4 linked regions of the Saccharomyces cerevisiae S288C genome follow. Changing the gene in region 2 together with the main gene of any one other region gives a genetic interaction. Each region holds a gene or a part of one and is shown on either strand. Other genes may lie near its edges. The genes, in order: CTF19, GIM3, VPS71 and ELP6.

Evidence for each region.
Region 1: mutations in GIM3 (region 2) and CTF19 together harm fitness more than expected from each alone (negative genetic interaction), as found in Saccharomyces cerevisiae (5 studies listed by BioGRID, with this or other methods).
Region 3: mutations in GIM3 (region 2) and VPS71 together harm fitness more than expected from each alone (negative genetic interaction), as found in Saccharomyces cerevisiae (8 studies listed by BioGRID, with this or other methods).
Region 4: mutations in GIM3 (region 2) and ELP6 together harm fitness more than expected from each alone (negative genetic interaction), as found in Saccharomyces cerevisiae (5 studies listed by BioGRID, with this or other methods).

Annotation. Positions count from the first base shown.
Region 1 is NC_001148.4:515,069-520,414, reverse strand, and holds CTF19 (Ctf19p), read right to left. Parts: upstream 2,765-5,346; coding exon 1,655-2,764; downstream 1-1,654. Other genes in the region: IRC15 (Irc15p), read left to right, coding at 182-1,681; VTC3 (vacuolar transporter chaperone), read left to right, coding at 3,397-5,346. UniProt on the Saccharomyces cerevisiae protein: Component of the kinetochore, a multiprotein complex that assembles on centromeric DNA and attaches chromosomes to spindle microtubules, mediating chromosome segregation and sister chromatid segregation during meiosis and mitosis.
Region 2 is NC_001146.8:345,169-349,644, forward strand, and holds GIM3 (tubulin-binding prefolding complex subunit GIM3), read right to left. Parts: upstream 891-4,476; coding exon 501-890; downstream 1-500. Other genes in the region: serine/threonine protein kinase YCK2, read right to left, coding at 1-108; INN1 (Inn1p), read left to right, coding at 1,145-2,374; RPC31 (DNA-directed RNA polymerase III subunit C31), read right to left, coding at 2,598-3,353; PGA2 (Pga2p), read right to left, coding at 4,199-4,476. UniProt on the Saccharomyces cerevisiae protein: Binds specifically to cytosolic chaperonin (c-CPN) and transfers target proteins to it. Binds to nascent polypeptide chain and promotes folding in an environment in which there are many competing pathways for nonnative proteins.
Region 3 is NC_001145.3:194,413-199,549, forward strand, and holds VPS71 (Vps71p), read right to left. Parts: upstream 1,344-5,137; coding exon 501-1,343; downstream 1-500. Other genes in the region: carnitine O-acetyltransferase CAT2, read left to right, coding at 1-388; YML040W (gag protein), read left to right, coding at 2,216-3,538. UniProt on the Saccharomyces cerevisiae protein: Participates in the catalytic exchange of histone H2A for the H2A variant HZT1, an euchromatin-specific factor, leading to chromatin remodeling and changes in transcription of targeted genes. Indirectly involved in vacuolar protein sorting.
Region 4 is NC_001145.3:896,724-901,581, reverse strand, and holds ELP6 (Elongator subunit ELP6), read right to left. Parts: upstream 3,178-4,858; coding exon 2,356-3,177; downstream 1-2,355. Other genes in the region: TGL3 (bifunctional triglyceride lipase/lysophosphatidylethanolamine acyltransferase), read left to right, coding at 275-2,203; PP1-complex regulatory subunit GLC8, read left to right, coding at 3,979-4,668. UniProt on the Saccharomyces cerevisiae protein: Component of the elongator complex which is required for multiple tRNA modifications, including mcm5U (5-methoxycarbonylmethyl uridine), mcm5s2U (5-methoxycarbonylmethyl-2-thiouridine), and ncm5U (5-carbamoylmethyl uridine).

The sequences.
Region 1 (5,346 bases), on a different chromosome or scaffold from region 2:
TCTGTGCGAACTTGAGTGCGGTGGCATTTTCCTCCGGCGAGGCCTGGGTGGAACACTCAGGCAGGGGGTACACCCAGACCTGCAGGCATGCATCTGCTGTTTCGGCGGCTATTTAACATGCGCACGATTTTACGAGAGGAGAAGAGAAGTATGATATAATTAACGGTGAGCATTTTTGGTAATGGGAGGTGAAGACGAAATATTAAGCACGATGGAGGATTTTGCGGCAGTTTACGATGTCCTGGTAATTGGTTGCGGGCCTGGTGGCTTTACTGCAGCGATGCAGGCTTCGCAAGCAGGCCTGCTCACAGCATGTGTTGACCAGCGTGCCTCGCTGGGGGGCGCCTACCTTGTAGACGGGGCAGTCCCGTCCAAGACCTTGTTATATGAGTCTTATCTTTATCGGCTGCTACAACAGCAAGAACTTATCGAGCAACGTGGCACGCGGCTGTTTCCTGCAAAATTCGATATGCAGGCGGCCCAGAGTGCACTCAAACATAATATAGAAGAGTTGGGCAATGTGTATAAACGTGAGCTATCTAAAAATAATGTTACTGTGTATAAAGGCACGGCTGCTTTCAAAGATCCTCACCACGTTGAGATTGCGCAGCGCGGCATGAAACCGTTCATCGTAGAGGCGAAATATATTGTTGTGGCGACCGGATCTGCGGTTATTCAGTGTCCTGGTGTTGCAATAGATAATGACAAGATAATTTCATCTGATAAGGCATTGTCACTGGATTATATACCTTCACGTTTTACTATCATGGGAGGAGGTACAATTGGACTAGAAATCGCATGCATATTCAATAATTTGGGCTCTCGGGTTACTATCGTTGAATCTCAAAGCGAGATCTGTCAAAATATGGACAATGAGTTGGCTTCTGCCACGAAGACCCTCTTGCAGTGTCAGGGTATAGCTTTTCTTTTAGACACTAGAGTGCAGCTCGCGGAAGCCGATGCTGCCGGTCAGCTGAACATCACCTTGCTTAACAAGGTGTCAAAGAAAACATATGTACATCATTGCGACGTCTTGATGGTTTCTATTGGTAGACGTCCCCTGCTAAAAGGTTTAGATATTTCCAGCATTGGTCTAGACGAACGGGATTTTGTAGAAAATGTTGACGTACAAACCCAAAGTCTGCTAAAGTACCCTCATATTAAACCCATAGGAGACGTTACATTGGGCCCCATGCTGGCGCTGAAAGCGGAAGAACAAGCTATAAGGGCCATTCAATCAATAGGCTGTACAGGCTCCGACGGAACCTCGAATTGTGGCTTCCCACCAAATGTGCTGTACTGTCAGCCTCAGATTGGCTGGGTCGGATACACTGAGGAGGGGTTGGCAAAGGCTCGCATCCCATATCAAAAAGGCAGGGTTTTGTTCTCACAGAACGTTAGATATAACACGTTATTACCACGGGAAGAGAATACTACAGTTTCTCCTTTCATTAAAGTTCTGATAGATTCTCGTGACATGAAAATACTAGGCGTTCATATGATAAACGACGATGCAAATGAATTGCTGTCGCAAGCATCGATGGCGGTGTCGCTTGGCCTTACCGCCCATGATGTCTGTAAAGTACCGTTCCCTCATCCGAGCTTATCGGAATCGTTTAAGCAAGCCGTCCAGTTGGCAATGGCAAATGGAACATCACCTGGCGTACATGTCCGGGAATAGGCAAACGTTGCAGATCTCCTTTAACCCGGTTTTCACACCATATTCCTTGATAAGTCCGTAGCATATCTCGTCCAAATCTATCTGGTTAAATCTTTCTCCCCCCTTCCATAGCGCTATTGAAATTTTACTCATGGGCAGAAAACAGTTACGAGGTTTGCCTCTCTCACCGGGCATTGTAATGATGAAATTTATCTGCAATTTTATCGTCGTGAGTCTTCCTTCTCTAATAACTCTTTCCACAATTAATGAGTCACTATTATTCATTAGATAACACCTGGTTTTCCTTTTCAATAAATTAATCAAATTTTGGAAAATTCCAGTTTTTTTGGACTTGATCTTATCAAACTCATAAAGGCTTAATAGACACTTCTGGAAGTTACGTGTTGCCAGTAATTGCTTGGCCTTCAGTCTAACGTTTGTGGAAATTCGCAAGATTTCCCACTTCAGCAGTGTGGAATCTTCAAATTTATAGAACATTTTGAACTGAATTTCAAAAGGATTCATCGTGTTTCTGCAGAATTTATAATTGACCACCAAAACTTCAATCCCATCGTTATGTACTCTGTCTCTTGATTGCACAGAAACTTGAAGATGCGGGTATGTGTGGTCTCTCAAATAACTTAGCCGTAGATTCATATTTAACAAAGGTAACGTGTCGTATTTTGTTACTAGTTCCTTCTGCAAGTTAGTTAGCCCATTGATCCTCTCGACCCGCTTGCGGTCACTTATCGCCGAATTAGGATTAGAGGATGAGATCGAGATTAGATTAAGAAAATCCTGTGTGATATCGTTTTGGAGGATATCACCATTTTTAGTCTTACTGTTATTTTCCTTCATCAAGATATTTTGGTACGTCTGGATCTCTTGTAAAAGAGTATTTCTCCTTGTCAACAGCGCATCCTTCTCCTCCTGTAGCTTCAGTGCGCGTACCTGATCATCATCTAATAGCGATAGTTGTTGCTTCTCGTCCCCATCAATGTTTACATCTGCTTCACCAGCATGATGTGTACCCACAGCGTCTTCCAGACTTAAATGCGAATTCGATGTGTCGTGCGAATTCGTCGTATCAGACGTAAAATCCATATTTGCGTTCTTTGCCGACCTAGTATCAACAAGATCACACTAGCTCCAAGGTATATAGCTGTTTATATAAGTCTAAATTACGCGTTTCTGATTTTTCGGCGGACTCCAACTATTAGATAGTCACCATTACCGGTTACATTACCGGCCACATAGTAGAACGCCAGAGTATATATGCCGTGACCTTCACGGTTTGGATGTTAATGAGTAACTTGCACAGCTATTGGTATTTGGACTTCTTGGCACATTTTTCCCTGTACAGCTTTTCTTTTTTTCAATGTGCGAGGGCCCACGTGGCTTAATACAACACAGTGCAGTCGCAAGCACGTGCATGCGATTTTGAAAGCACAAGGCAGAAACGTGGAAACATACACACACGCACACACCCAACTTTCGAGTGGGTTTCATCCAGGAAGAACTTTTAAATAGAGGCCAGAGAGCGGCTTACATCAGACATCTTTTCTCGAACTTACTTCATCTTCTCAATATCGAGAGGGCCCATTGGCGGGTAATAATACGCATAAGAGTGATCTAATCCAAGTAGTACCTCCTTAGCGCTTTTTTTATTATCACTATAGGTCATTTGGCTATTAGAGCGAACAGCAGAATTTGTCCTTGGTTTTCAGAGTTTGAAAATGCTATTTGGTATTAAACTGGCTAACGACGTATATCCTCCCTGGAAGGATTCATATATCGACTATGAAAGGTTGAAGAAATTACTAAAGGAAAGCGTCATACATGATGGCCGTAGTTCCGTGGATAGTTGGTCCGAAAGGAATGAATCTGATTTTGTGGAGGCCTTGGATAAAGAACTAGAAAAGGTTTACACATTTCAAATTTCCAAATATAATGCTGTCTTGCGAAAATTAGATGATTTAGAGGAAAACACTAAATCAGCTGAAAAAATCCAAAAAATAAATTCTGAGCAGTTCAAAAACACCTTAGAAGAATGTCTAGATGAGGCTCAAAGATTGGATAACTTTGACAGGTTAAATTTTACTGGGTTTATCAAGATTGTGAAGAAACACGATAAATTACATCCAAACTATCCTTCTGTAAAGTCTCTTTTACAAGTCAGATTGAAAGAACTTCCTTTCAACAATTCAGAAGAGTATTCTCCCTTGTTGTATAGGATCTCATATCTGTACGAGTTCTTGAGATCAAATTATGATCATCCAAATACGGTGTCTAAATCATTAGCAAGTACTTCTAAATTATCACATTTTTCTAACCTTGAAGACGCAAGTTTTAAAAGCTACAAGTTTTGGGTTCATGATGATAATATAATGGAGGTTAAGGCTAGAATCTTAAGGCATCTACCTGCTTTGGTTTATGCGTCGGTTCCAAATGAAAATGACGATTTCGTCGATAATCTAGAATCAGATGTCCGCGTACAACCTGAAGCGCGCTTGAATATTGGTTCAAAGAGTAACAGCCTTTCTAGTGATGGTAATAGCAACCAAGATGTTGAAATTGGAAAATCAAAGAGCGTTATTTTCCCACAGTCATATGATCCAACAATCACTACATTATATTTCGACAACGATTTTTTTGATTTGTACAATAACAGATTGTTGAAAATCAGCGGTGCACCTACGCTGAGATTAAGATGGATCGGTAAACTGCTAGACAAACCTGACATATTTTTGGAAAAGAGAACTTTTACAGAAAATACCGAAACTGGTAATTCAAGTTTTGAAGAAATCAGATTGCAAATGAAAGCCAAATTCATCAACAATTTTATTTTTAAAAATGATCCCAGTTACAAAAACTATTTAATTAATCAACTAAGAGAAAGGGGTACTCAAAAGGAGGAACTGGAAAAACTTTCTAGAGACTTTGATAACATCCAAAACTTTATTGTTGAGGAGAAGTTGCAGCCAGTTTTGAGAGCTACCTATAATAGAACTGCTTTCCAAATTCCTGGAGATCAAAGTATTAGAGTCACTATCGATTCCAATATCATGTACATTAGAGAGGATTCTTTGGACAAAAATAGGCCCATTAGGAACCCTGAGAATTGGCACCGTGACGATATTGATTCCAATATTCCCAACCCATTGAGGTTTTTAAGAGCAGGAGAATATTCGAAGTTCCCCTATTCTGTAATGGAGATTAAGGTTATAAACCAAGATAATTCTCAAATGCCTAATTATGAGTGGATTAAAGATTTAACTAATTCACATTTAGTTAACGAAGTTCCAAAATTTTCTTTGTACTTGCAAGGTGTGGCTTCACTGTTTGGTGAAGACGATAAATATGTCAACATTTTGCCATTCTGGTTGCCCGATTTAGAAACCGACATCAGAAAGAACCCTCAGGAGGCTTACGAAGAAGAGAAGAAAACTTTACAAAAACAAAAGAGCATTCATGATAAACTTGATAATATGAGAAGGTTATCCAAAATCTCTGTACCAGATGGAAAGACCACTGAAAGACAAGGGCAAAAAGATCAGAATACTCGCCACGTTATTGCAGATTTAGAAGATCACGAATCATCAGATGAAGAAGGTACTGCATTGCCCAAGAAATCTGCAGTCAAAAAAGGGAAGAAATTCAAAACGAATGCAGCTTTCTTGAAAATT
Region 2 (4,476 bases):
ATTGACCAATCTAACATTGCTACGGTTAGGCATTTGTGAGTTCATTGTGTTATTATTGACAGCTAAACCAGAGTTCGTTGCTGTCAAAGGACTTTGCACTTGAGACATTTTTGGAAAACTATTTTCTTGGCTTATATGCTGTGTTCAGTAGAAACAACAAGTTTTGTCTATCAAAATGGAGAAAAAAACTTTCTAATATGATCTGCACAGAAACACGAAACACAACCACGTTCTTAAATCTCGAAAGAGAAAAACAATATCAAACGAAAGAAGTAATTTCCGTAAAGAAACTCTTTTTTTCTGTCTGAAAAAAAAGGTACTTAGGAATATATGCGGATTACAAAGGTATACAAAAAAAACTCTATCTCATACACAATAACTTAAACTTGCTTTTTATTATCATGTTCTTTACTTTTCTTTAATTTCCCTCCTGAAAAAATTAAAAATTTTTCATTACTCATTTTGTGGAGACACCCACAGCCCACACTTTAATGAGTGTTCTAACGTTCAAGGTTGATATTATCACCAAATTTAGCATACAGGATCGCCTTCAGAGCATCAAGACGGGAATCAATGTCTCTTTGCTTGTCCTCTAAAGTCTCTATTTTGTTGTCGAGACGTTCTGCGTCTTTTTCGAGCTGTGCGGTAACTTTGCTCTGTTTCATGAAGATAAAGAGGTCGCCCACCTTGTATTGCACGGGCTCATCTTCGTCAATCAATTCAATTTCTAGAGACACATCATCGAGGTACTCCTTCTCCTCCCTCTGTAAACTCAATTCCTGCGCAATGGCGTCCTTACGCATAATCAACTTCGAAAACTCGTTGATCTTTTGCTGATCTTCGAACGTTACCTGAGTGTTGTTCCTTTGTCCCTGTGGTAACAGTTCCATAATGGTCCTCTGTTAGTTTCTTGGCGTTGTGTATTCTGGTAGTTTCCGCAGGACCAAACAGAGCATAAGTCCTCTAAGTACTTAGCTTCCTGTAAAATTGTATGAAAAGCCGCCTCTGCTGATCATGAATGACGGCCTAGCGTTCCTCATATGATTTAGATAAAAACATAGAAAGGTATGTTAATAGTACGAGAGAATTCGGAGACCTTAGGTTTCACAACTGGAATTGGGTTAACTCGTTGAGTCACTGTCGAATGTCCGAAGAAGTATGGAATGGAAACCAAGGAATCCTCTCCGTATATGTGAGCAAAGCTAGAGACTTGCCTAATTTGAATAAACTGGACAAGCAAAATGTAATGCTTAGGTTGCGAATAGCTCATATGACAAGAGCCAGCAACACTCTACATCGAGCAGGTCAAAACCCTGTTTTCCATTATTTAGAAAAATTTGATATTACTCCAGAGATAAAGCCTTTAATGTACGTCGAAGTTTACTGCGATAGAAGGAAAAAATCTCCGCTGCCAATTGGAAGATGTGAAATAGACCTTTTAAATGCTATTAGAGCAGACCCGAAGGAGGGTTATTGTACCTGGTACGAACTGAAAAGAAGTGGGGATGAATTTGCTGGCACTATATTCATTGAGTTGACTTTCACTCCCAAAGTACCTCGTTTAAACAGGGACGATCTTAACAAAGAAATGGACAGGTTGGATTCATCTATGGCTATGAGGCCGATACCACCATTGCCAACAGAATCAGAGTATGACTATGTTCATGGTTCTACGATGAGACAGATTACTCCCCAGTGTGTTAGCACAAGTCACGAGGATAAGGATGAGGGACAGCCCTACAGAAATGGCAATGTTTTCTCCATGTCATCTAAATCAGATACAGCGGTATTGGCAAATAGTAATGACCCAATAATTTTACCTCCAACTTTTTCAGCATCCATGGGTACAACGTCTACATTAGAAACTAATGATACTGCTATATCAAACACTTCGAATACAAAATTCCATTTTGCCAATTTAAGGAAATTAAAGGAGAAGATAAATATATTTAAGAATCCTGATAGTTCAACAAACAACTGCCAAAATGAATCTAACAAGGTAGATATTGAGGCACTTCAAAAGGCTATTGGTGTAACTTCGTTGTCTTACGACGAAGATGATGACGATGACGACGAAAATGACGCATTTTATTCTTCCAGCCATAGAGTCTCCCACAACTATAACCAACCGCCCTTACCTCCTATACCGACCAGAGATGATATGTCCAATTATTCAAGTTCGCGCAATACGCCGTTAGTAAGAAGAGATAGACCCTCACGCCTAGATTCCTCTTCGCCTAACTCACATCCTCATCCATCAGGCCTGAATTCTCCAAAACTACCACCTCTACCGACTACTTCGAATTCCAATTTTAATTCGAGGAAGAATTCGATGTCTCCTACAAGAAAAAGACCACCTCCAAGGCTCAGCTAATGACAAGAGAAACATGCTGTTATTGTAATACTAATATTTAAATAGAATTAAGATTTTTAATGTTTACCAAGATTTTTTCTTTTTTAAATTTTATTATTTCAATATGTATACATAAATCTGTTGCGCCCTCACCGCCGATCTAAACCATAAAGAAAAATGCTAATTGTACAAATTCTGCTTTGAAGAATATCCAAAAATATGGTAAAGCGGTATAAATTTTCAACTAAAAGGCGGCCTCTTCATTTGGATCCTCTTCATCACCGTAATCATCATCGTCACCATTGTTGAAATACTTTTCAGCATTATAATCATCATCATCTTCTTCGTCTTCATCTTCTTCGAAATCATCATCCGCCAAATCATCATCTTCTCCTTCGCCTGTTTTACTTCCTTTTGCTGCCCCATCACCCGTCGACGCATCATCCACATCTTCTGCCAACTCCTTTAACTTTGCCAGCATGGATAGTCCGATGTTTTCATCTTGTAAACCTGTACCAGTAAAAACATCATCGGCATTATTAAACTTGGAGATTGCCAATAATTTTTTCTTGTTGATCCCCATTACATTGTACAATTCATTGGGAAAGAGGTTCAAATTATACGGATGATCATCAATAGAAATACCTATTTTCCTTTTTTTCAAATATTTATCGGAATATCTTTCAATGCCATCATTAGTATCGTCTTCGTCTAGGATTATGTTGGGTTTGCGTTTACCGCTCTTGCTGTTTTCCTGTTGATCTATTATCAAGCTCATTGATCCGGTATAAAATGGGCCATCTTTAACAGTCTTTCCAAAATTGATGTACTTTACTGCTAAAGATCTTTCCTTATTTGTTATAGGACCATTGATGGGCAATGGGATGGATGGAAATTCCGTAATATGATTTTTGCCTACATCTCCATAACCTAATCCGAAGGGTAGATTGCTCATATAGTTGCTCCCGCCACCTCTACTGCCGCCCCTATAAGAACTCATGTTTGTTCGGGGTATATATGCTCGGTACTATCAAGTTACAATATCTTTCTGTCGTGTTGTTTTCTATAGGTTGCTGCGATGAGGAAACTATTTTCTTCTTTGAGATTTTTTCAAATTTCTCTTCATTTTTCATGCGGCCGCACAAGAGTTGAAACCACTGACGAAAGCAATTTCAGTTCATTGAGTTACACCTAGCGAGGCACTTCTTTGTGGAATGGTAGCCATTGTATTGAGATTTTTCTTGTCGACCATCAGCCTTTTTCTTCATAAGAGAAAAGAAGATCTCGTTCATGACTGCTAATTACTTTGAACGATCACCTCTGCAATGTGACATTTGTTCGAAAGCCGCCCATTAGTATTGAAAATAATTTATATTTTCAATTGGCTAGACTACGAAATTTGGACAAGCCATTGCTGCGTAATCCTTTCTCTTCTACGTCACAGTACATCTCTTTAAACCTTTTCGTTTCTCGGCTGTTTAAGGAAAGTATCGTCTTGCCGTATCTACATAAATCAATTCTTACCCATTTTCTTTTGCATTCTAGCCGTTAATTCACGGCTTAGTCGTTTGATATCGTGTTTGAATTGTGAATTGCATCATTCATGCGGAATGGGAATCATCGCAGTCGTTATCCGTCTCACAAACGTCGGCATTTGCTGACTATTAAGGCGACACGTAACCTACAAACTCAATTTGAGACGCAAACGCAAGTTGATTAGACGTTGAGAATGATGCAAGTAGCAACATCGGTAATGGTTAGACTATTTTATCAGAAAACTATAGAAAAACTAAAAACAAAACAATGTCACAATGACAAAGAGGAACCCATACATACACAGAGAGCCTATTCTTCCAGTAGTTCCTCAATATCAGCATCACTATCTGGGTCCAACCCTTGGTTTCTTCTCTTAGCCTCTTCCAAAGCGTTTTCAAACAACTCCTGTTGTCTTTTAACTCTTCTTCTAGTTTTCTTACCCCAACCGAAAGAAGTTGTTTCTGCTGTTGCAGCATCATCTGGCTTGTCGATCAGGTCTTTTGATCTCTTTTCCTCTTTGTCTCGTTTGTCCTTTTCCACTTGGGCAGCCAACTGCTTCTTCGCCAATTCCCTGGATGCGATATTTC
Region 3 (5,137 bases), on a different chromosome or scaffold from region 2:
AAAAGAGCATTCTACGTACCTGAAAAATGCTGCAAATGGTAATGGTGTCGATCGTCATTTCTTCGGTCTAAAGAATATGCTAAAATCTAATGATGACCAAATTCCGCCCCTTTTCAAAGATCCCTTATTTAATTATTCTTCAACTTGGTTGATCTCCACATCTCAACTATCTTCGGAATATTTTGACGGTTATGGTTGGTCTCAAGTAAATGACAACGGGTTTGGACTGGCATACATGTTGAATAACGAGTGGCTGCATATCAATATTGTCAACAAACCAGCCAAGAGTGGAGCCAGTGTTAACAGATTACACTATTATTTATCTCAAGCTGCTGATGAAATTTTTGACGCCTTGGAAAATGAGAATAAACGAAAAGCAAAGTTATGAATTTTTCACCTTTCCTCTTCAATTAATTTGTGAATATTTTTGTTAAGTATCTACACTTACATACGTATAAATAGGGGAGAAAAAAGGGCTTACGAATACATACTGATCATTACTATCTATTTCTGCACCTAGTTTCATTATGCAATTTAAAACAACTTACAGAACAAATCTTATTTCCACAATTAACGCAACTTGAAATACTATCGTAGCCACCGCAAATAGAGCATGTCGTAATTAGGGGTAACACTTTGAAGTATCGTTTATTGTAAACATTGTGGTAAATGACATTCTTATCCATCAAGTTTAGCAGCGCAGAATCTAAAAACGAATGTAAATTTCTTTTTGAACTTAAAACCTTCTTTAACGCCACAATACGATTGGTATTCTTCCTCTTTGGTTTAGGTAGTTTTGTAGATTTATACGATAATTGTATTTCCCGTAAGGTTTCTGGTTTAAGCACCCAACCATGACCATACTTGGAATGCTCTTTTACAAAAGAAGAACCACCCATTAATGCAGAGAGACCATCCGAGGTCTGTGAGATCGGTTTGGTTGTTGATTCAATTCTATCTCGTGGTACGCCTGTGAGATCACTTAATAAAGTCGGTACATTTGGTAAATCCGAGAAATTTTCTGTGTTAAGTTCCATAAACCTCCTGTCCGACTGGAGAATCTCTTGTTGTGTGTACCTTTCTTCAAATGAATGGGAATTCTTACTATTTCGGTCATCCTGTCTGCTTATACTATTGCCATCTCCCTCAGATCTCGAAGTATATAACCTGGCCTCTAAATCTGCCAGTGAGTAGTTTATGCGCTTTACGGGCCTAGAGGTGGATATTGTGCCTTGCTTATTAATCTTCTTTGAAGTATATCGACGTGCTTGAGGATCCAATGACGTGAAATATATGTCAGGATTGTAAGTTTTCTTATCAATCTCTTCAACTAGCGCCTTCATTTCGCTGTTATGAGTAAGCGATCCGTTCTTTTTCTTCGATCTATCAATGATATCGACGTTACTATAGATTGAAAGGGCCGCTTCGACTTTTGTTAATACTCACAAAGATCATCATGTTCATTATAAAAAAAGTAGTTATTAATTATCTATTACCCGGATCAAAGTTATTTCTACAGAACACAAATATTTTATTGATTGCTTCGTTACATAAAGCAACGACTAAATAAATATAAGCTCTCTAGCTATTCCACCGACTTCACTTCCTTAATGAATGGTCGTTTTTGTAATACTCCAAAAAAAATATCAAAAAAAGGGGCGAGCTGGGAATTGAACCCAGGGCCTCTCGCATGCTTTGTCTTCCTGTTTAATCAGGAAGTCGCCCAAAGCGAGAATCATACCACTAGACCACACGCCCTTGTGAACTTGTGAATCTTAGCCACTAAGGAATCACCGAATAGTAAAAGTTTTCTGACAACTACAATATTAAGCCCTTAACAACAATAATGAATATTGAGTGCATAATGTTGAAATGGAACTCTAAAATATCATTTGTTTAGTAGTATTCGTGTTACTAGTTGTTGGAATAGAAATCAACTATCATCTACTAACTAGTATTTACATTACTAGTATATTATCATATACGGTGTTAGAAGATGACGCAAATGATGAGAAATAGTCATCTAAATTAGTGGAAGCTGAAACGCAAGGATTGATAATGTAATAGGATCAATGAATATAAACATATAAAACGGAATGAGGAATAATCGTAATATTAGTATGTAGAAATATAGATTCCATTTTGAGGATTCCTATATCCTCGAGGAGAACTTCTAGTATATTCTGTATACCTAATATTATAGCCTTTATCAACAATGGAATCCCAACAATTATCTCAACATTCACATATTTCTCATGGTAGCGCCTGTGCTTCGGTTACTTCTAAGGAAGTCCACACAAATCAAGATCCGTTAGACGTTTCAGCTTCCAAAACAGAAGAATGTGAGAAGGCTTCCACTAAGGCTAACTCTCAACAGACAACAACACCTGCTTCATCAGCTGTTCCAGAGAACCCCCATCATGCCTCTCCTCAACCTGCTTCAGTACCACCTCCACAGAATGGGCCGTACCCACAGCAGTGCATGATGACCCAAAACCAAGCCAATCCATCTGGTTGGTCATTTTACGGACACCCATCTATGATTCCGTATACACCTTATCAAATGTCGCCTATGTACTTTCCACCTGGGCCACAATCACAGTTTCCGCAGTATCCATCATCAGTTGGAACGCCTCTGAGCACTCCATCACCTGAGTCAGGTAATACATTTACTGATTCATCCTCAGCGGACTCTGATATGACATCCACTAAAAAATATGTCAGACCACCACCAATGTTAACCTCACCTAATGACTTTCCAAATTGGGTTAAAACATACATCAAATTTTTACAAAACTCGAATCTCGGTGGTATTATTCCGACAGTAAACGGAAAACCCGTACGTCAGATCACTGATGATGAACTCACCTTCTTGTATAACACTTTTCAAATATTTGCTCCCTCTCAATTCCTACCTACCTGGGTCAAAGACATCCTATCCGTTGATTATACGGATATCATGAAAATTCTTTCCAAAAGTATTGAAAAAATGCAATCTGATACCCAAGAGGCAAACGACATTGTGACCCTGGCAAATTTGCAATATAATGGCAGTACACCTGCAGATGCATTTGAAACAAAAGTCACAAACATTATCGACAGACTGAACAATAATGGCATTCATATCAATAACAAGGTCGCATGCCAATTAATTATGAGAGGTCTATCTGGCGAATATAAATTTTTACGCTACACACGTCATCGACATCTAAATATGACAGTCGCTGAACTGTTCTTAGATATCCATGCTATTTATGAAGAACAACAGGGATCGAGAAACAGCAAACCTAATTACAGGAGAAATCTGAGTGATGAGAAGAATGATTCTCGCAGCTATACGAATACAACCAAACCCAAAGTTATAGCTCGGAATCCTCAAAAAACAAATAATTCGAAATCGAAAACAGCCAGGGCTCACAATGTATCCACATCTAATAACTCTCCCAGCACGGACAACGATTCCATCAGTAAATCAACTACTGAACCGATTCAATTGAACAATAAGCACGACCTTCACCTTAGGCCAGGAACTTACTGAATCTACGGTAAATCACACTAATCATTCTGATGATGAACTCCCTGGACACCTCCTTCTCGATTCAGGAGCATCACGAACCCTTATAAGATCTGCTCATCACATACACTCAGCATCATCTAATCCTGACATAAACGTAGTTGATGCTCAAAAAAGAAATATACCAATTAACGCTATTGGTGACCTACAATTTCACTTCCAGGACAACACCAAAACATCAATAAAGGTATTGCACACTCCTAACATAGCCTATGACTTACTCAGTTTGAATGAATTGGCTGCAGTAGATATCACAGCATGCTTTACCAAAAACGTCTTAGAACGATCTGACGGCACTGTACTTGCACCTATCGTAAAATATGGAGACTTTTACTGGGTATCTAAAAAGTACTTGCTTCCATCAAATATCTCCGTACCCACCATCAATAATGTCCATACAAGTGAAAGTACACGCAAATATCCTTATCCTTTCATTCATCGAATGCTTGCACATGCCAATGCACAGACAATTCGATACTCACTTAAAAATAACACCATCACGTATTTTAACGAATCAGATGTCGACAGGTCTAGTGCTATTGACTATCAATGTCCTGATTGTTTAATCGGCAAAAGCACCAAACACAGACATATCAAAGGTTCACGACTAAAATACCAAAATTCATACGAACCCTTTCAATACCTACATACTGACATATTTGGTCCAGTTCACAACCTACCAAAAAGTGCACCATCCTATTTCATCTCATTTACTGATGAGACAACAAAATTCCGTTGGGTTTATCCATTACACGACCGTCGCGAGGACTCTATCCTCGATGTTTTTACTACGATACTAGCTTTTATTAAGAACCAGTTTCAGGCCAGTGTCTTGGTTATACAAATGGACCGTGGTTCTGAGTATACTAACAGAACTCTCCATAAATTCCTTGAAAAAAATGGTATAACTCCATGCTATACAACCACAGCGGATTCCCGAGCACATGGAGTCGCTGAACGGCTCAACCGTACCTTATTAGATGACTGCCGTACTCAACTGCAATGTAGTGGTTTACCGAACCATTTATGGTTCTCTGCAATCGAATTTTCTACTATTGTGAGAAATTCACTAGCTTCACCTAAAAGCAAAAAATCTGCAAGACAACATGCTGGCTTGGCAGGACTTGATATCAGTACTTTGTTACCTTTCGGTCAACCTGTTATCGTCAATGATCACAACCCTAACTCCAAAATACATCCTCGTGGCATCCCAGGCTACGCTCTACATCCGTCTCGAAACTCTTATGGATATATCATCTATCTTCCATCCTTAAAGAAGACAGTAGATACAACTAACTATGTTATTCTTCAGGGCAAGGAATCCAGATTAGATCAATTCAATTACGACGCACTCACTTTCGATGAAGACTTAAACCGTTTAACTGCTTCATATCAATCGTTCATTGCGTCAAATGAGATCCAACAATCCGATGATCTTAACATAGAATCTGACCATGACTTCCAATCTGACATCGAACTACATCCTGAGCAACCGAGAAATGTCCTTTCAAAAGCTGTGAGTCCAACCGATTCCACACCTCCGTCAACTCATACTGAAGATTC
Region 4 (4,858 bases), on a different chromosome or scaffold from region 2:
GAATTTTTAATTTTGCCACTCTATAATAGGGTATGTTCTTTATAGGTCATTTTTACTTTTTTAGTAGGGCATTTTAATAAATACTAGGTTTTTAGTAATTTCGGAGATACTTATCCTAGGTCTGAAAATTCAACCCTAACCCTTTTTTTCTTATGTTTTTTTTTTTCTGGGTAGCAGCTAATAGAAATTAGTACTGATTACATAGAGAAGTACTATGACACAATAGTAAGGGAATCATCTATTCATATATCACATCTTTGAGTTGCCGTTAAGCATGAAGGAAACGGCGCAGGAATACAAGGTGTCTGCTGTAATACCGACCCTTTTGAAAAACTGGATACTGCGTGTAGTGTATGCCACATTGGACCATATACCTCCTTTTGTGTGGGAAATTCTACATGTCATCACCGATATTTATTTCTTCTGGGTTCAAAAGCTGATTAACTATGTGCGGCCACACTCAAGAGTCATTTATTATAACGCTATTAAGAAGTTAGATGAGTGTGATACGTATCAAATGTGGTGTCAGCAAGCGTCCGTAGTGGATGAAATAACAGGCGCAAATTTATGGCGGCGGAATTTCTTTTCGAGGAGGTACGACTTCAATTCTGTCATTGAACAATATAGCATATTGGAAAATATGTTAAGGGAGGAGAAGTATGATGTAGTTAAGGAGAAGTTTTCGACTACAGGCCCTTGTATGTTGAGGAACTTTGCGGGTATTGGAGATAAAAAGTTGTTCACAAAATCTTTGATGGGTACAAAGCTACTTATTGAACAATATTTGACCCGAATTCTAGAAGGCTTGGATATATTAAATAATCAAACTTTAACTCCAACATCCTTTTTCCAAAGATGTAAGTTGTCACTGGGCACAACAGCATTAATCTTGCAAGGTGGTTCATTGTTTGGGCTGTTTCACCTTGGGGTGATTAGAGGTTTATTGTTACAGGACCTGATGCCTAATATTATAAGTGGTAGCTCTATGGGGGCATGCGTTGCAAGTTTATTCGGTTGCTTGTCCAATGAGCAACTAAAGCAATTATTGACCGATGACAACCTCTTGAATATCATCAAGAATGATGTAGATTTATTAAAAAGCTGTGGATACGGTAATTTAGAGCAGCACCTAAACCTGGGGACTTTGATTCAGAACCTAATACACCACGGTTATTCTCAAGACGTTTATCTTTTTATCCGGTTTGTTATGAAATATATTGTTAAGGAAAAAACTTTTGAAGAAGTTTATCAAATTACTGGAAAAGTTTTCAATATTGTTATTCATCCAACTGATAAATCATGCCCTAATTTACTAAATTATGTGACAACCCCAAACGTATTAATCAAGTCAGCCATTGAATGCTCACTTGGTTCTGGTGTAATTTCAGAGGATACATCACTATTATGTAAAAATTTAGAAAATGAAATTGAGCCTTTTCTTAACATCAATAAAAATAAACAAGTCAAATTTCTTACCCCAGAAAATGCCAACAATCCGAGCATAACGGAGAGCCCCTATACTAGGTTAACGGAACTATTCAATGTTAATAACTTCATTGTTTCTTTGGCGAGACCATACTTGGCACCATTGGTGGTAAATGATTTGAAGCATGAAATAAAAACGTCAAAATATTACTATTATAAGCATTATCCAAATATGCCTCCTATAAACGCGAATACAGTAAGAAAAACACAGAGATCCTCTTCGCAATCACCCATAAAGGCAGGAACTGTCGAGGATCTTGAGCCAGAGCCTTTAATGAGCCCTGTGCCCCCAAGTTCGGCAGTCAACGATTCAGCAGAGTACATAATCCCAGAATTGGGCATACCGCAGTTGAACTTTACTGAAATGGAACCGCTGGCGTTTAAATTTAAGTATCATCTGGAAAGAAAATTAAAAAATATTGCCACTATGGAATTTCGACATAGGATGGAGGTATTGGATAATTTAGGCCTGTTGTGCTCATTAATAAAAAGACTAATAATTGATGAAAAGACTCCCAGATCAGCTACGGAGATTGCTGTGGTACCAAGGATGAAAAGTCTATCATTAACAAGGATTATTGAAGGTCAACTAAACAACATTCCATACTGGATAAAATCTGGTGAACGAAGTACATGGCCCGCACTAGCTTTAATTAAGACAAGATGTGCAGTCGAATTTAAATTAGACGACATAATAAGAGCAAGACGGAGTAGGTAGTATCGTTTCCACTTTTTTCTGTCTTATTTTTTTTATTGATAGAGCTCGATTGCATATATTTTTCATTGATATTGTACTTAAAAATATATTCAGTTCATAGAAAAAACAATAATACGAGAATCAATGTGCCTCGTATATAATCTTATCATTATTTAGCGATAAAATAGTTTTGTTGACTCCTTCTCATTCAGATATAGGTATTCATTTTCAACGACGTGTAGGCTTGTGTTTGAAGTTGCAATGGGTGCGCCGCCCCTGCAAACGTGCAATGAGCCGGTTACGTCCTTTGCAAAACCGGTCTTCAGAGGATTCAAGTTCAAATTAATCATTGATTTGATAAAGGAAGATTTGTAGAAATTTTGCAGATTCGAGGAATGAACAGAAGCATCGTATTCATCTATATTAAATATGTCCGAATTGGAAACAATGATTAGCACTTTGCATTGCCTCAAAAGAGGTGTGATGAACTTATTGTTTAATTCTGAACAAGTTAGGCCGCTTACTAGCGACAACAGTAATTCTGGTTGTTCGATGATAACAATGGTGTCAGTTGGGTTATTTTGTATAGCAGCGGAGAACTTTGCGAGTACGTCACTTAGTATTTTGTCTCTTGGCTTATTATGGATATTATTAACGATGAAGTCGGACAGGAAGTCTAAAACATTGTAGTTATTAGATGGGATCTTTAGCTTGTTTAATGAATTTGTAAAATAGTTCTGTTCGTGGATAAACGACGCAAGGACTGCATGGGAGCGAGTTGACGAAGGTAGCATCGATGAAGAAGATTCATTAAGGGAACTTGGGGAACCTAACACGTGCGTTTCTACTAGTGCGTTTATCATCCATAGTGGTTGAGTACAGGATTGATGGGTGATGAAGAATAAGTTATGAGAGTTGCTGTCTTGGAAAAAGTGGGCAGGAAGCACTGATTGGTCGCTGAATAGGACCAAATCTTGTCGTTGAACACTACCCATAAATGTGTATTTAGTTATTTTTGTGGAGGTTCTGGACGGTTTTTGCCTAACTTCTACTAGCCTCAATTTAGTACTTTTATTTTTTTTTCATTTTTCATTCTGCTCATCGCCTATCAATTCATGCCTAAGAGATGCAAAGATAGCGTACTATAGATGTGAAAAGTTGGATAAACAAAGCCCATGATATAAGCCACGGCTTCAGCCTTAAAATTGGGGTTAAAGGCTAAGAACGAATTGCAAATTCTTTTGCTTCAGCAGGAATTTTCCAACAGCAAAGTATAAAAAATCTATCTAAGCCGCTTTTAAATTAAGGAGCGTATATAAAATTATATAATCACACTCGAAGGACCAATCTGTGCTCTACATACCTTACGCGCTCTAATAATATGATCTATGCTTCATCAGTCTTGTTTATTCTTAAAGTATTTTTTTTTATGTTTGGTTCTTGTTATTGAACAAAAAAATGAATTAACCCGAACACTACCAAATCAATAGCAGAAGAAAAGAAGAAAATGATAAAATAAAGGTGAGAACCATTTTAAAGCATTATTCATTATGAAATCCTCCTATCTAGTATAACTTGATTCGACACCTTGCTAATATTTCTCTGAAGCACTGTCTTTAGAGGCAAAACGGTACTATCGCATATTCTTACCCGGTTTCAAGTTTTGCCCTCACGCTTTTTTAGGGAGAAATGACTTCCACCGAAAGGATAATTTGAGAACACCACTACAACTTAAAGTCCAAGAGCTTCATCAGTACAACGAGTTCGTATCATCAAGAACGCACATCAGCAGAATAATGGGAGGTATACTTAAAAACCCGCTAGCCTTATCGCCGGAGCAGCTGGCGCAACAGGATCCAGAAACGCTTGAAGAGTTTAGAAGACAAGTTTACGAAAATACGCAGAAAAATGCCAAATTGACATCACATAAAAGGAATATACCGGGACTAGATAATACAAAAGAGGAGGGGGAGATAATTGGAACATCGAGTACCTTCCTTCCAAAGGACACACTGTCACTGAAACATGAGCAAGACATGTTGGCCAAGATGACACCAGAAGAGCGAGTTCAATGGAACCAAAGAAATTTAGCAGAAAATGAAATAACAAAAAAGCAGTTCCAAGATATTCACATAGACGAGCCCAAGACCCCCTACCAAGGTGCTGTGGACCCTCACGGGGAATACTACAGAGTAGATGATGATGAAGATGAGGATAATAGTGATAAAAAACCATGCCAGGTGGCAAACGATGACATCGACGATTTGTCCCTGGGCGAACCGGAATTTGAAATCAAAGAGAACAAACAACCGGATTTTGAGACCAACGACGAGAATGATGAAGACTCACCGGAGGCTAGACATAAGAAATTTGAAGAAATGAGAAAGAAGCATTACGACGTAAGGGCAATTTTCAACAAAAAGTCCCGTGAAGCGCTAAAGGACGAAGACGAAGACGAAGATGATAGTACGACAAAAGAACCATGAAACATGACACCTCCATAACGTTTACCTATACTAAATATATCTTATTTTTTGGATTCTTGGTACATAAATATGCACTGTTTGTTATCACGCGAAACGAACTGATTTTTTAACAAGCTTTATTTTATACATGAAAAATTTCCCATCGATGAGCTGTGATCGGCAAGTGAGAGTACTCTGTTTCACAACTACT